Daphnia pulex: one gene and its partners. Each later gene encodes a partner of the first gene's protein in a complex. Links are inferred from orthologs where the notes say so. Each region holds a gene or a part of one and is shown in the gene's direction. Other genes may lie near its edges.

Evidence for each region.
Region 2: E3 SUMO-protein ligase RanBP2-like (region 1) and nuclear pore complex protein Nup54-like share a complex: the UniProt entries of both Drosophila melanogaster proteins name them as parts of the nuclear pore complex. The link is inferred for Daphnia pulex from reciprocal best matches to the Drosophila melanogaster genes Nup358 and Nup54.
Region 3: E3 SUMO-protein ligase RanBP2-like (region 1) and nuclear pore complex protein Nup160-like share a complex: the UniProt entries of both Drosophila melanogaster proteins name them as parts of the nuclear pore complex. The link is inferred for Daphnia pulex from reciprocal best matches to the Drosophila melanogaster genes Nup358 and Nup160.

The regions. Positions count from the first base shown.
Region 1 is NC_060024.1:12,890,411-12,894,042, forward strand, and holds part of E3 SUMO-protein ligase RanBP2-like, read left to right. Parts: coding exon 1-45; intron 46-108; coding exon 109-1,305; intron 1,306-1,370; coding exon 1,371-2,723; intron 2,724-2,795; coding exon 2,796-3,632. UniProt on the Drosophila melanogaster protein: E3 SUMO-protein ligase. Component of the nuclear pore complex (NPC), a complex required for trafficking across the nuclear envelope.
Region 2 is NC_060022.1:6,652,589-6,656,845, reverse strand, and holds the start of nuclear pore complex protein Nup54-like, read left to right. Parts: upstream 1-1,406; 5' UTR 1,407-1,577; coding exon 1,578-1,635; intron 1,636-1,943; coding exon 1,944-2,375; intron 2,376-2,433; coding exon 2,434-2,706; intron 2,707-2,784; coding exon 2,785-2,935; intron 2,936-2,995; coding exon 2,996-3,428; intron 3,429-3,498; coding exon 3,499-3,762; intron 3,763-3,829; coding exon 3,830-3,946; intron 3,947-4,019; coding exon 4,020-4,118; 3' UTR 4,119-4,257. UniProt on the Drosophila melanogaster protein: Component of the nuclear pore complex (NPC), a complex required for the trafficking across the nuclear envelope. Essential for the nuclear import of nuclear localization signal (NLS)-containing proteins in an importin alpha/importin beta-dependent manner.
Region 3 is NC_060017.1:6,360,021-6,364,314, reverse strand, and holds the start of nuclear pore complex protein Nup160-like, read left to right. Parts: upstream 1-1,482; 5' UTR 1,483-1,605; coding exon 1,606-1,717; intron 1,718-1,822; coding exon 1,823-1,934; intron 1,935-2,006; coding exon 2,007-3,516; intron 3,517-3,574; coding exon 3,575-3,921; intron 3,922-3,980; coding exon 3,981-4,234; intron 4,235-4,294. Other genes in the region: glycogen debranching enzyme-like, read left to right, coding at 1-462, 533-955, 1,028-1,087. UniProt on the Drosophila melanogaster protein: Functions as a component of the nuclear pore complex (NPC). Involved in poly(A)+ RNA transport. Required for nuclear import of Mad. May play a role in double strand break DNA repair. Essential for nephrocyte development.

The DNA.
Region 1 (3,632 bases):
CCCGAACGTTTGGACGCTCAACTTAGACAAATGGTGCAGCGACAGGTAAGTTTGACATAACAGTTGTCCCTTCAATTCATTTATGTAATGTATCAATTGAATATTTAGGAGGAATTTAACCAAGCAATTTCAACTGAATTAAAACAAATTCGGGCCGAAGTCGTGGACATCAAAACTTTGATACAAAAATTGGAGTCACATCTTGAGATGCAAGCAAAACATGAAGTGAAAGAGAGTCGGAAAAAGTCGTCTGAAAAGGCATCTGAGACCTATGATGATAGATGCTACGAAGATGGCGACGTGGAAGATTGGGAAGAACAAGAAGACGAGGAGGAAGAAACCGACCTCGATAATTTAGTGAAATTGAAAGGAAAATTGAAGAGCTCTGGTCCCTCTGCCCCCCAGATCAATATGCCGTTGTATGCTCCTCCATTTGCTCCTGCAACGAGACCGGCATACGGATATCCACCGACCTATGGAGCTCCATTCCACCCTTCTGCATACCAGCAATATCCAGGCTTTCCGTACGTAGGAGTTCCAGGTGCACCAGGTCCTTTCCCCGTTACGCCAACTTATTCGTATCCACCGGGAATACCCCATTGGGGAATGGACCAAGTTACAACTCCGTCACCAGGATCGACTTATTTGCCCCCTGGGATGGTTGCTCCACCTATTCAACAGCAGATTGCTGCCCAACCCCCAGCTCCGTCTGTTTTTTCCCGAATTGGAACAAAAGATACATCACTGCTTGCAGCAACTTTACAGCAACCTACCGTAATCAGCACTGCACCAACACCCATAAACGACGTGGAATCGGCTTCTGAGGCCCTCCGCAGAGCGGCAGCTGGTTATTCAGCATCTTCCACTGCCCCTGCTCCTCACGCATATCAGATTAATGTTCCCACACAGGCTACACCGGAGAAAATAGTTGATAATACTTTATCTCCAGCCATCCAGCTTTCTACTCGAAGCCTGCTTGCCAATATCCCAGAGCCAGAGTTTTCATCTGTTACCACTCCGGATAAATCTAAATCAGCCCGTGATCGCAAAGCATCCACTTGTTCTGATGGAAGCTACGCTCCAGAAGAGGAGGTTGACAACTACCCAGATTTCAAACCTATTATTCCTTTACCGGAAGAAGTGGAAGTAAAGACTGGAGAAGAAGGTGAAGACGTACTTTTCGATCAAAGGGCCAAACTTTTCCGTTTTGCCGAGAACCAATGGAAAGAGCGTGGTGTTGGCCAACTAAAACTTCTTCAAGACCCGACTACGAAGAAAGTTCGATTGCTGATGCGCCGTGATCAAGTAGGATGGGTTGTTTCTATTTCTATGATCGCAGGATTAATTATTTGTTGTTCTCTGTTATCTAGGTCTTCAAGATTTGTGCCAATCACACAATTACGGCGGACATCAAATTATCCGAAATGAATAATTCAGCCAATTCGTGGATCTGGGCCGCCATGGATTTTGCAGATGGCGAAGCAAAACTGGAAAAATTTGCTGCCAAATTCAAAACTCAAGAAATATCCACTGAATTCAAAGAAGCCTTTGAAAAGGCCAAAACAGCCGATGTTGTTAAACCTAAGCCTGATACTGCAACTACAACAGACAAAAAGGCTAGCGAAGCACCAGTTAAAGGATTTGGGGACAAATTTGCTCCCAAAAGTGGATCATGGGCTTGCAGAATGTGCTATGTCAACAATTCGGCAGAAGCTACCAAATGTGTATCCTGCGAAACACTCAAACCAGGGACAGAAGCTCAAGCACCAGCCCCAACTCCTTTCTCTCAAATGAAATTTGGAATGCCTTCTGTAGCATCTGTTGCTTCGACAACACCTACGGCGTTCAAAACTACCACGGTAACGACTACCCCTGCTAGCACGGGATTTACATTCTCATCAACACCTTCAACTGGAGCTCCCGCGTTTAGTGGCATGAAGTTTGGAGTTCCAGCTGCCGCAACAACACCAGCCTCGACAGCGCCTTCTTTTAGTTTTTCAACTCCAACTCCCGTTACTACATCAGCTCCTGCTACAATTAGGTTTGGTGTGGCTGCCGCAACACCGACTTCAACAACTACACCTGTTTTTGGAGTAACGACGACGCCCAGCTCGGCTGCGGTAACATCAAGCTCTGCAGCGTTTTCGTTTGGAGGAAGCAAACCTGCTTTTTCATTCGCTCTGCCGTCTTCCTCAACGGAAACCGTGGTATCGAAAGCTCCATTTTCATTTTCACCTCCCAAATTGGCTACGGCCGTAGTCACGGCTCAAACTAATGGTCAAACCGACGTCACCACCAAAGTGACACCGTCAACCACAACTGGAGTAACACCGACGTCTTCCGTGCTACCTGGCTCAATTTTTGGGACTCCCAAATCAGCAGTTGAAACTAAACCAATTTTTGGAAGTTTTTCCTTTTCCACGCCGGTTCCTGCTGCTGTAACACCAGAAAAACCATTGGAGGAAAAGAAACAAGAAGTCAAGCCTAGTCCTTTCGCCGGCTTTTCTTTTAATAGCAATCCGACTCCTGCTTTAGCACCAAAGGCGCCTTCAGATGAGAAAAAATCCGAAGACAAGCCTAGCCCATTTGCTGGTTTCTCCTTTGGGGGGTTCGGAGGCGTTGCAAATAAAGACGCTGGAGAAAAGAAGGCTGAACCTGGTATGCTGTTTTCTCTGTTAGCCCAACAGCAGTCTTCGACCGGTTTTACCATTGCTCCAAACAAAGTATGTTTCTACATTTTCAATTGTAATTTTGTGCAATTTCATATAACAGACTTGTCATGTTTTAAATTCTAGGAGTTCCCTGGAACCGGAACACCACTTTTCGGATCAACTACTCCGAGCGATAAGACGAAAGATACGAGCAAGGAGGAGGATGGAGAGGAAAATGAAGGAGAACATTATGAACCCAATGTTGTCTTTGAGCCAGTAATCCCATTACCTGCCTTAATTGAAGTATCGACTGGCGAAGAAGAAGAAAAGTTGTTATTTATCGATCGAGCCATCCTCTATCGCTACGTTACTGAAACCAAAGAGTGGAAGGAAAAGGGAAGAGGTGAAATGAAGATTTTGGAACATAAAATCACTGGCCGAGCTCGTTTGTTGATGAGAAGAGATCAGGTTCTCAAAATCTGTTGCAACCATTACATTACTCCTCAGCTGTCACCGAAGCCTTTGCAGACATCAGACCGTACATGGACATGGTCTGCACAAGATTTTTCTGAGGGTGAACTAGTTCAGGAAACCTTTGCACTGAGGTTCAAAACCATGGATCAGGCCCAGAAGTTCAAGGGCGTTTTCGATGAAGCCCAGAAGAAATCTGCTGACATCAGTATTGAAAAAGTCGAAGCAGCGAAAGAAATGAAAGGCCAAGAACCTCAAACGTTCGGTGAGAAGTTTAAACCCAAAGAAGGATCCTGGGAATGCCAGGGCTGCCTCTTGCGCAACGACCCTAGTGTGATGAAGTGTCCATCTTGTGAGACTAGCAAACCTGGAGAGCCTAACAAAACCGAACAGCCTGCCACCAAACCTCAACAACCTGTAACTGCATCCTTCGCTGGATTGTTTAAGCCCAAAGAAGGATCTTGGGAATGCAAGGGCTGTTTTTCACGCAATGATGCTGCTATGGTAAAG
Region 2 (4,257 bases), on another chromosome or scaffold:
GTTTCATCGAGCTCATGGACCTGCCGAGCTCCGACAGAGAAGAGTTCACCTTCGCCAATATTATGACCGTAATGGAATATTCCTTGGAACATCATGTGAAGCTGGACTACTATATCGGAAACGAATGGACTGGTGGAGTCGAATGGTTGATTATCGACCAGATCGACATTTTGACTGAACTCCTTCCAACACTGAATGAACAAGAACTTCACCGATTCAAGCGGACTCTCTACAATTTCATTGGAGACGACTACAGATTTAAAATAGTCGAAAAGGGCAATCTCCTCCATCTTGCCTGCTGCTCCTACACAATTATAACGAAACTCTTTCCCCTAAACGTCATGAAATTGTTACTGGAACTCGGAGTCGACCCAAGTGCCACCTCGTCCAACGGAATGACGGCCCTTCACGTGCTGGCCAGTATTGAATGGGAGCGCTGGTCGATCAACACCATAGACGCCATCCAGTTACAGTTGTTGGACTCGGATGCTCATATCGACCAGCCCGATGATGTGGGCATAACACCTTTGGACCTCTTTAAACTAAAGGAAAAAGAACTGGCTGAAAACGGGATCTCAAATGTTTACCTTGGGGCCGTTCACATATGACGTCACGGACTTTTTGACGATTTTACACCCCCCCCCCTCCCCCCTTTGTCACAATTCATCACAGTAGGTATACCCCCCCTCTAATATGACGTCACAAAGTCAGATACCCCCCTCCCTTTTTAAAAATTGTTTGAGCCCCTAAAAATTCTTTATTTTCTGTATTTTCTGTAGTTTTTAATACAGAACACAATGTTGTTCATTATTTTCTTAATTGGTCAAGCAAACGAGGTGCTTTGCTCTAACGATCCAAAAAACTAAAAGAAATTTAGGAAGTTGCCAACATATCCCACTTGGTGGCGCTTGTGTAGTGCCTTGTGACGTCCCACTGTGAATACCCCCCCTACCCCCCCTCGTCACAATTCGTCATACAAGGTGCACCCCCCTCCCCCCCCTCGGCCCGTGACGTCATATGTGAACGGCCCCCTTCAAAGACTGATTCATAAAGTGCGGCCCCTCACATGTTTAGCTGCCCAAGTCGTGAGCCGTCATGGAATCCCATTCGACGACCTGCCGTCCAGTTTAATTTCGTTTGTCAACCGTCACTCATTCTTAAATTGGAATAATTGATTGGAATGTAATGCAAATTGTCTTGGTTAAATCATCATTAATAAACTTGTTTTCTGATCAATTTCTTGTGTTAATTTTTTGCGTGTAAAAGGGGAGAGAATGGACGACCTTCGGGAATGACGAGGTTGATTTAAATTTCTTCGGTTGAACGGAATAGAAATATTTGCGGTGGACTTTCGCTTTTCTGTCTTCCGCCAAAGTTAAAGGATTGGTTCTTCATCGTTAACCGCTAGATGGCATATACCTCCTTTCTTCTCGCTACTTCCACAGAAAAAATGTAGTTTCAAGTTTTGAACGTGAACGCTAACGATATCATTGAAAATCGGCTTGTCGACTTTTTTACCAATTAGACAGATACCAAATAAGATTTATACAAGAAAGTAAGGATAACTTATTCTTGAAATGGCATTTTCTAGTGGAAGTCTTTTCCAACCAGCCCAGTCTACTACATCCAACACAGGTAATACACACAAACTAGTGTCAACTCCAGCATTACTATATATTTGAATGATAATTATCTAAGTGAAATCATTTTGCCTTCGTTGTTGAACATGCTACAATGCATGGCTTTTTCATTTATTTTCTGTTTATTAGTTTTTCTTGAGATTACATTTTCTAGTCCAACCAAATGCTGCAATCATTTTTGTTCAAGCACAACACTGATTGAGAATTGTTCATTATTTTATCATAGAAATAGGAGATAACAAATAAAATTTTATAGAATTAAACTTATGTGTTGCAATGCATTTGACTCATTTTCACTTCTAGGAGGGCTGTTTGGAGGTACTGGTCAGACTGGTACTACTCCATTTGGAGGCTTTGGTGTGCAGCAAGTTAGCACAGCAAATCAGTCCTTTTCATTTGGAACTCCTCAAAATTCTGCTTCAACATCAGGATTTGGCTCTCAACAAACTAACACCACTGCAACAGTACCTTCTTTTGGTTTTGGCAGTACCCAACCTACTTCAGGTGCTCCAGCGTTTGGATTTGGTACCACCCAAACTAGCACAGCTGCTCCATCGTTTGGATTTGGTGCAACACAAACAAATACCACTACACCTGCTTTCGGATTCGGTGGAACTAATACTGGTGGAGCTCCATCATTCAGCTTTGGGCAGCCACAGACAAGCAACGCTGGATTCGGTTTTGGCACTGGAGCCCCTGCTGTCTCATCGTCGTCCGGACTTTTTTCTGGAACAGGTAATATTTTTTTATGGAATGACTTGGAACGAATTATTTGACTACTTTTCTGTATTAGGATTTGGATCTTTTGGAACATCTCTGGGAGGAACCGGGATAACAACACCAGCTTCTAGTAGCTTTTCTTTGGGAACTACATTTGGAAGTACAGCCCCAACAACAGGCCTGTTTGGTCAACAACAACAACAAACGTTTGCTCCTGCTCAGCAAGCCGGTACTGTTGTCGAATCTGTTCTCTCATCCGTACTTTACTGTAACATTTACGGTGATGAGCGCGATGCAATCTTGGCTCGTTGGAATCTCCTTCAAGCAGCTTGGGGAACCGGAAAAGGTTTGACTCCACCTTAATTGCGGTTCAATTTAAATATTAGAATGTCTTCATTTTACTCACATTGTTATTGGTGTCTAGGATTTTACTCTGGCACGGCTAGTGCTATCCAATATACTGCAGAGAATTCATTGTGTCGCTTTAAAGCCATTGGCTACAGCAAACTACCACAAGGAAAGAATGAAGATGGAATAATTGTTTTGCTGTTTAACAAACCCGAAACAGATATTCGGTAGATAAAATTATAAAAACCGTAATTGCATATAGATTTATTTATGGATTCAATTTGCAGGCGAGACCAAGCTCAGTTAGTCAGTGTGATAACTACGGCGCTGGGCAATAAACCCAATCTGAATGTGTCCGTCGAGGGCGTGTCTGGCCTAGACACAAATAAGACAGAGGTTTTGATTTGTGTTCAAGAACGCTCAGCAACTGGCGCAATTCATAAAGTGCCTGCCATTGAATTGTCTAACTTCCTTTGGAATCAACAACCATCTGGGATGATGCAGTCGGCTCGTGGTCAGCTCAGCGCACTTGGAGTCGTTTCGTGTGTTCCTAGAGTCCGACCATCACCCGAACAATTGCGCGAATATCTAGCATCGCCTCCAGCTGGGATTGACGCTCGCATTTGGAAACAAGCTCAATCAGAAAATCCTGATCACGATAACTTCATACCCATACCACTGATCGGATTTGGTGACCTTGTTCGTCATTTACACCTACAGGTTCGCATTTCTATATTTAACTTATTCACACTACGCAAATAGTTGAGTTGAAAAAAATAAATCATTGCAGGAGAAAGAGACTCGACGACACCAAGGAACCCTGGACAAGTTAGCTGAGGAATTAGCAAGCCTGCAATCTCGTGCATCAGAAACATCGGTTGCGCTAAGTGAACAGCGACGACGATACATCGACTTGCAACATCGAATCCTCAAAGTTCTTATAAAGCAAGAATGTTCTCGGAAAGAAGGTTTTGCTCTACAGCCAGAAGAGGAACGTTTGCGGGTGCAGCTAGAGTCTGTGCACAATGAACTAAGCATCCCTACGCAATTTCGAGTAACATATATATTTTTCTAATTAAATGTTAAGTTTATAGAATAATGTTTTACACTGTCAACATCAGGGTCGCTTAAACGAATTGCTTTCGCAAATAAGAATGCGCCAATCTGCCTTTACGCCAGCGGAACGAATGACTGAGAGGTACAACATTGAACCAAATGTTTTGGATGATCTGAAACAAGTAAGGAAGTTGTCACAATTTTTAAAGTTAATTTGTTAGCTTTGTCTCATTTTGAATGATCTCGTTCCTATAGGTCCTTAAGTCACAGCAAGAAGGAATGGCTCAGTTAATGAATGTATTGAAAGAAGATTTTAATGATTTGCTTGTTTTAGATAATGCTTTGAAACACTAAAATAGCGACCGAAAATATTCTTCATCAACTAAGTACGAATTTTACTGTTTTCAAGGGTCTAATACACGGAAAAAAAATTTCATTAAAAAAAAATCTTTAGATTCATATCATAATTGAAAATTAGTAGATCGTATTTGAT
Region 3 (4,294 bases), on another chromosome or scaffold:
TTCAACAATAAGGTCGGCGTCAGCGTCGAAACTGGATTTGTTTTCGGTGGCAACGCCCATAATTGCGGAACTTGGATGGACAAGATGGGATCAAGCGCTAAGGCCGGTAACAAGGGAGAACCAGCAACTCCTCGTGACGGTTCTGCTGTTGAGATCGTTGGCCTTTCTCGCTCCGTCGTTGGATATTTGTGGGAATTGTTTACAGCTGGAACTTATCCGTACGCCGGCGTCGAGCGGGTTAACGAAGACGGAACTAAGACTCGCTGGACTTACGACGAATGGGCTCGTCAAATTGATCGCAACTTTGAGCGACATTTCTGGATTAATGTCGATCCAGAACCAACGGCCGAACCCCATCCTGAGCTTATCAATCGTCGAGGCATCTACAAAGATTCTTATATGGCATCCAAACCCTGGGCTGATTATCAATTGAGACCTAACTTTGTGGTCGCCATGGCTGTGGTAAGAATAACGGATTTCTATCATTTTTATCTTTCTCACATTAACTGTTTCATTACGTTTACGTTTAAAGGCTCCGACCATGTTTACACCATCGAGAGCATGGCAAGCATTACAAATGGCTCTTCAGCACTTGTTAGGACCATTGGGCATGGCAACTTTGGACAATTCTGATTGGTCCTACCGACCAGATTATTGCAATTCGGACGAAGGAGATGATCCCAGCACGGCTCACGGTTTCAACTACCACCAAGGACCCGAGTGGCTCTGGCCAGTTGGTTTCCTACTCCAAGCCATGCTTTATTTCGCTCCATTGGTCGGCGGAGTCTCCGAACTCAGAAAAACCATCCGCAAAGTCAAGTCTATTTTATCGCGCCACTTTGTCGAAATTCAACAATCGCCCTGGCGCTCACTTCCCGAGCTTACCAATAAAAATGGCAAAGTCTGTAATGATTCGAGTCCAGCTCAAGCCTGGTCTATGGCCACCATTCTCGAGGTGATGAAAAAAAAATAAATATTACAATTTTTGAATTTAATGTACTAACTTGGTCATTTTGTCACTTTTCAGGTTTTGCATGAACTGGACAATATCGAACATAAACAGAAACTAAGCATCACCGCATTGTGAACTTAGAATTGTGATTGAATTCTTTTGTTGCCCCGGGGTCCTTAGTTGCTTTTCAGAATTCGAAATATACGCAGTTCTATTACTAGGGAAAAAGAAGAAGAGAGTAGTTTAAACTTATGTTTCCCACCTTCAGCCGCACCCGTACATTATATTATTAGCGTTTTCCCACTTCAGCGCATGTGTTGTTCTTCCACAATTTTAAAAACATTTTTTGTCGATTTAATTATGTTTGTTATTCACTTGGTGGAGAATTCTATTATGCCGCTTTCCAAAAGCAGTGTTGTAATTTGTAGCAATACACGGCGTCATGCCTGCTAGTGAATATACTCGTTCTTTTTGCCTCAACTCAAATTTTGTCATAAAATTAGTGTACCAACGAGTTTGGTTTTCAATCGCTAGGTGGCGCTGAACGGTAAATGTAGTTCTGCCGTTTGCCGGTTTGGAAATTTAGATTCGTCTGAAACGAATTTGTTTCTCAGCTGCCCGCGCGATTGCAACTGTAGAAACGAGTTAAAAACATGTCTAGTTGTCTTAAAGGAAATCTTTCTGGCTTTTCTCTTCTCGGATTGCGTGAAGTAATTCCAGATCAGACAGGCATAGAACAATGGAAGGAACTATTACTGAATACGGGTAATTCAAGTGAACTTGTTGAGCTACACCGGCTACAGTTCTTTCTTTTTCAACCGAAACGGTGTCGCTTTTCTTAAACACTGACCTGTATTCTGTTTTAACCAGGTGGAACTCATTTGACACTCCAAGATATTAAACTACCTGAAGGTTGCACAGCAGGAGGATACTGTTTCACTGATTCCAATTCAACTGTCACTCGGAACCGTTTCATATGCTGGTACAGCTATCATTTACATAATTTAAATGCTGCTGTAAGTAAGACTCATTCTGTATTATTTGTTTTGAACAGGCAAATTTCCAATGATGTCCTGGAGCTAGTAGAACACAGTTTAGACTTGAACTTACACGGCAACTGTCTTCGAATCAGATTTCAAGGCCTTCCATTATTAGAGGGGACATCCATTCATGAAACAAAAAATAATGTAGTTATTCTCGTCTCCACCATATCTTCAGTTCATCGTTTGGTTCTACCACATCCAAAAAAACACAATGATCCTACAGCATTCAACTCAATGGGGACCAACATTTCTGTACCATCCATCTTTACTGAAGCATCCCTTCCCTGGTTGAGGGAATCATTGAGCCACCAGGTCATCAACAGCACCGCCACCAATTTTTCACTCCCCAGCACTGCTGCATCTTACTTTTCTGGAAAAAGTAAAGAAGCATTGTTTGCTTTGGCAAACACTTCGTCGATTTCTCTCATTCGTATGGGTCAATCTCCTTCGGCAGTTACCACATATAATTTGCAGCCTTCCTCAAATTTATCACGTTTACTTTCTGGTTACCTGCCTACTGTGTTAAGAGGAAGCTCATCACAGGAAAACGAAGATACTACGGCAAGCATTTGTTTATTGCCGACAAATGACGACGTTCTTGTGCTGGCCGTCAGCAAAGGCTTGAAATTGCGAATTTGGTCAGCAGCAACCCAGGAGTGTCGTTTGGAGTTCGATTTGGTTGAATTCTTCGGAGACAAATCAGTCAAGCAGCTTGGCTCTCTTCACAGAATCCGGTGGTGTCCTGACGGCGTCGACTTCAAACTGGTCGTCTTCTCGTCCTTTGGCAAGAATAGATCTTTTCTTCTCATTGATCTACAGACGGGCCCTACACTCAAGCTCAATTTCCAGTCATCCGTTACTGCACAACATAGTCGTTTAATCGACTTCAGCCTGACTTCAAATCACCTTTATGCACTATGGAGCACTTCGCGGGGTGAATATCTGTTGGAATTCGCCGAAACGACCCTGCTAGAGTGGCAACAGGTTGCGTTGGAACCTGGCGTCGATTCGGAAATTGAATACGACGATACCGTCGTTGACCCTAAACAAGCGTACATGCAGGCACTTTTCAAACCGGGCGTATTCTCGATTTCAACCTTGAGTAAGGCTCTGCAAGCTTTTGATCGTTCGGCATCGACAAGTAGGAGGAGACCTGGAGATATAAAAGAAGACATCATTATGGCTATCGAGGTTGAACTGAAAGAGCAGATTTCCGATGCAGATGATGTGACAGAAGAACTTTATCTGCAACTTTCGGCCAAATACTGGGCCCAATTCTACGCCTATGCTGTTCAGTATCATTTGAAGCGGCCAATTCCTGTTGGTTTACTCATTGATGACGAAACTGGCTTCCATGCTCTACTTAAACGAGGAATGGTTTCATTTTTGCGTCCGTTGGATCTGGTTGAGAGTTTGGTTTTGCAACGAGGCCGTCGCTGGGATATGCAGCCATTTTCGAGTGGAATTGCTTCGCTTTTCGGGGGTCAGCAATCAACTTCTGGCCTTACTGCTCTGCTCGAGGTAACATTTCTTTTATTTGTTGTGTACATAGATTTTGACGAATTTTGTTCTTTTACAGATTCTGTTTGTGGTCAGCGATAGTTTGTCAACGGAGCAAATAAAGCGCTTTGATCAATCAATGTTTCAGTTGGAAAGTGCAGATCAAATTGCCAGGGATATTGCTGATGAACTGCTGGAGAACGAATCAATTAATTTGCTCAACGCTGTCCAAATGGCTTTGTCTTCTGTTGACATTTGCCTGGCCTTGTCTGTTCTTCTCCAACAGCTCAGCGTCGGCATGAATGGAGGCGATCCCAAATTTGGCGAAGTTTCCTTCAATAATAAAAGTTCCTTTCGTTTGCTTTTCAATGGAAGTCTTGGATTGGGAGCATTAGCCGAATCATCCCGACAGATGGCTGATTTAAGGTAGTAATTCAGAAAATGTTTCATTACCTTTTTAAATTAAAATGATGTTACTTTCGCAGGTTGGAATTGTGTCGAGATGTACTGATTGTACAGCAGTTGCTTATATTAACACAGAAGAAGCTTCAGCTGCGTCCCGAAGATGCCGAAACCATTCGCTCAGAGTTCCTCCCTCGTAGCGTCCCCCTGGCTCACGCCTACTATGCTTTATCTTGGTTATGCCACTTCCCGGCCCAAACGGTTTCCAATTCCCTCACCGAACAAAATATTCGCACAATGGCTTTGTTGGGATTCAAAAAATCTCAAGAGTCTTACGGTAAGTTTGAAAACATCTAAATTTCCCATTTTTCCAAATTGAAATAATACTGATTAAACA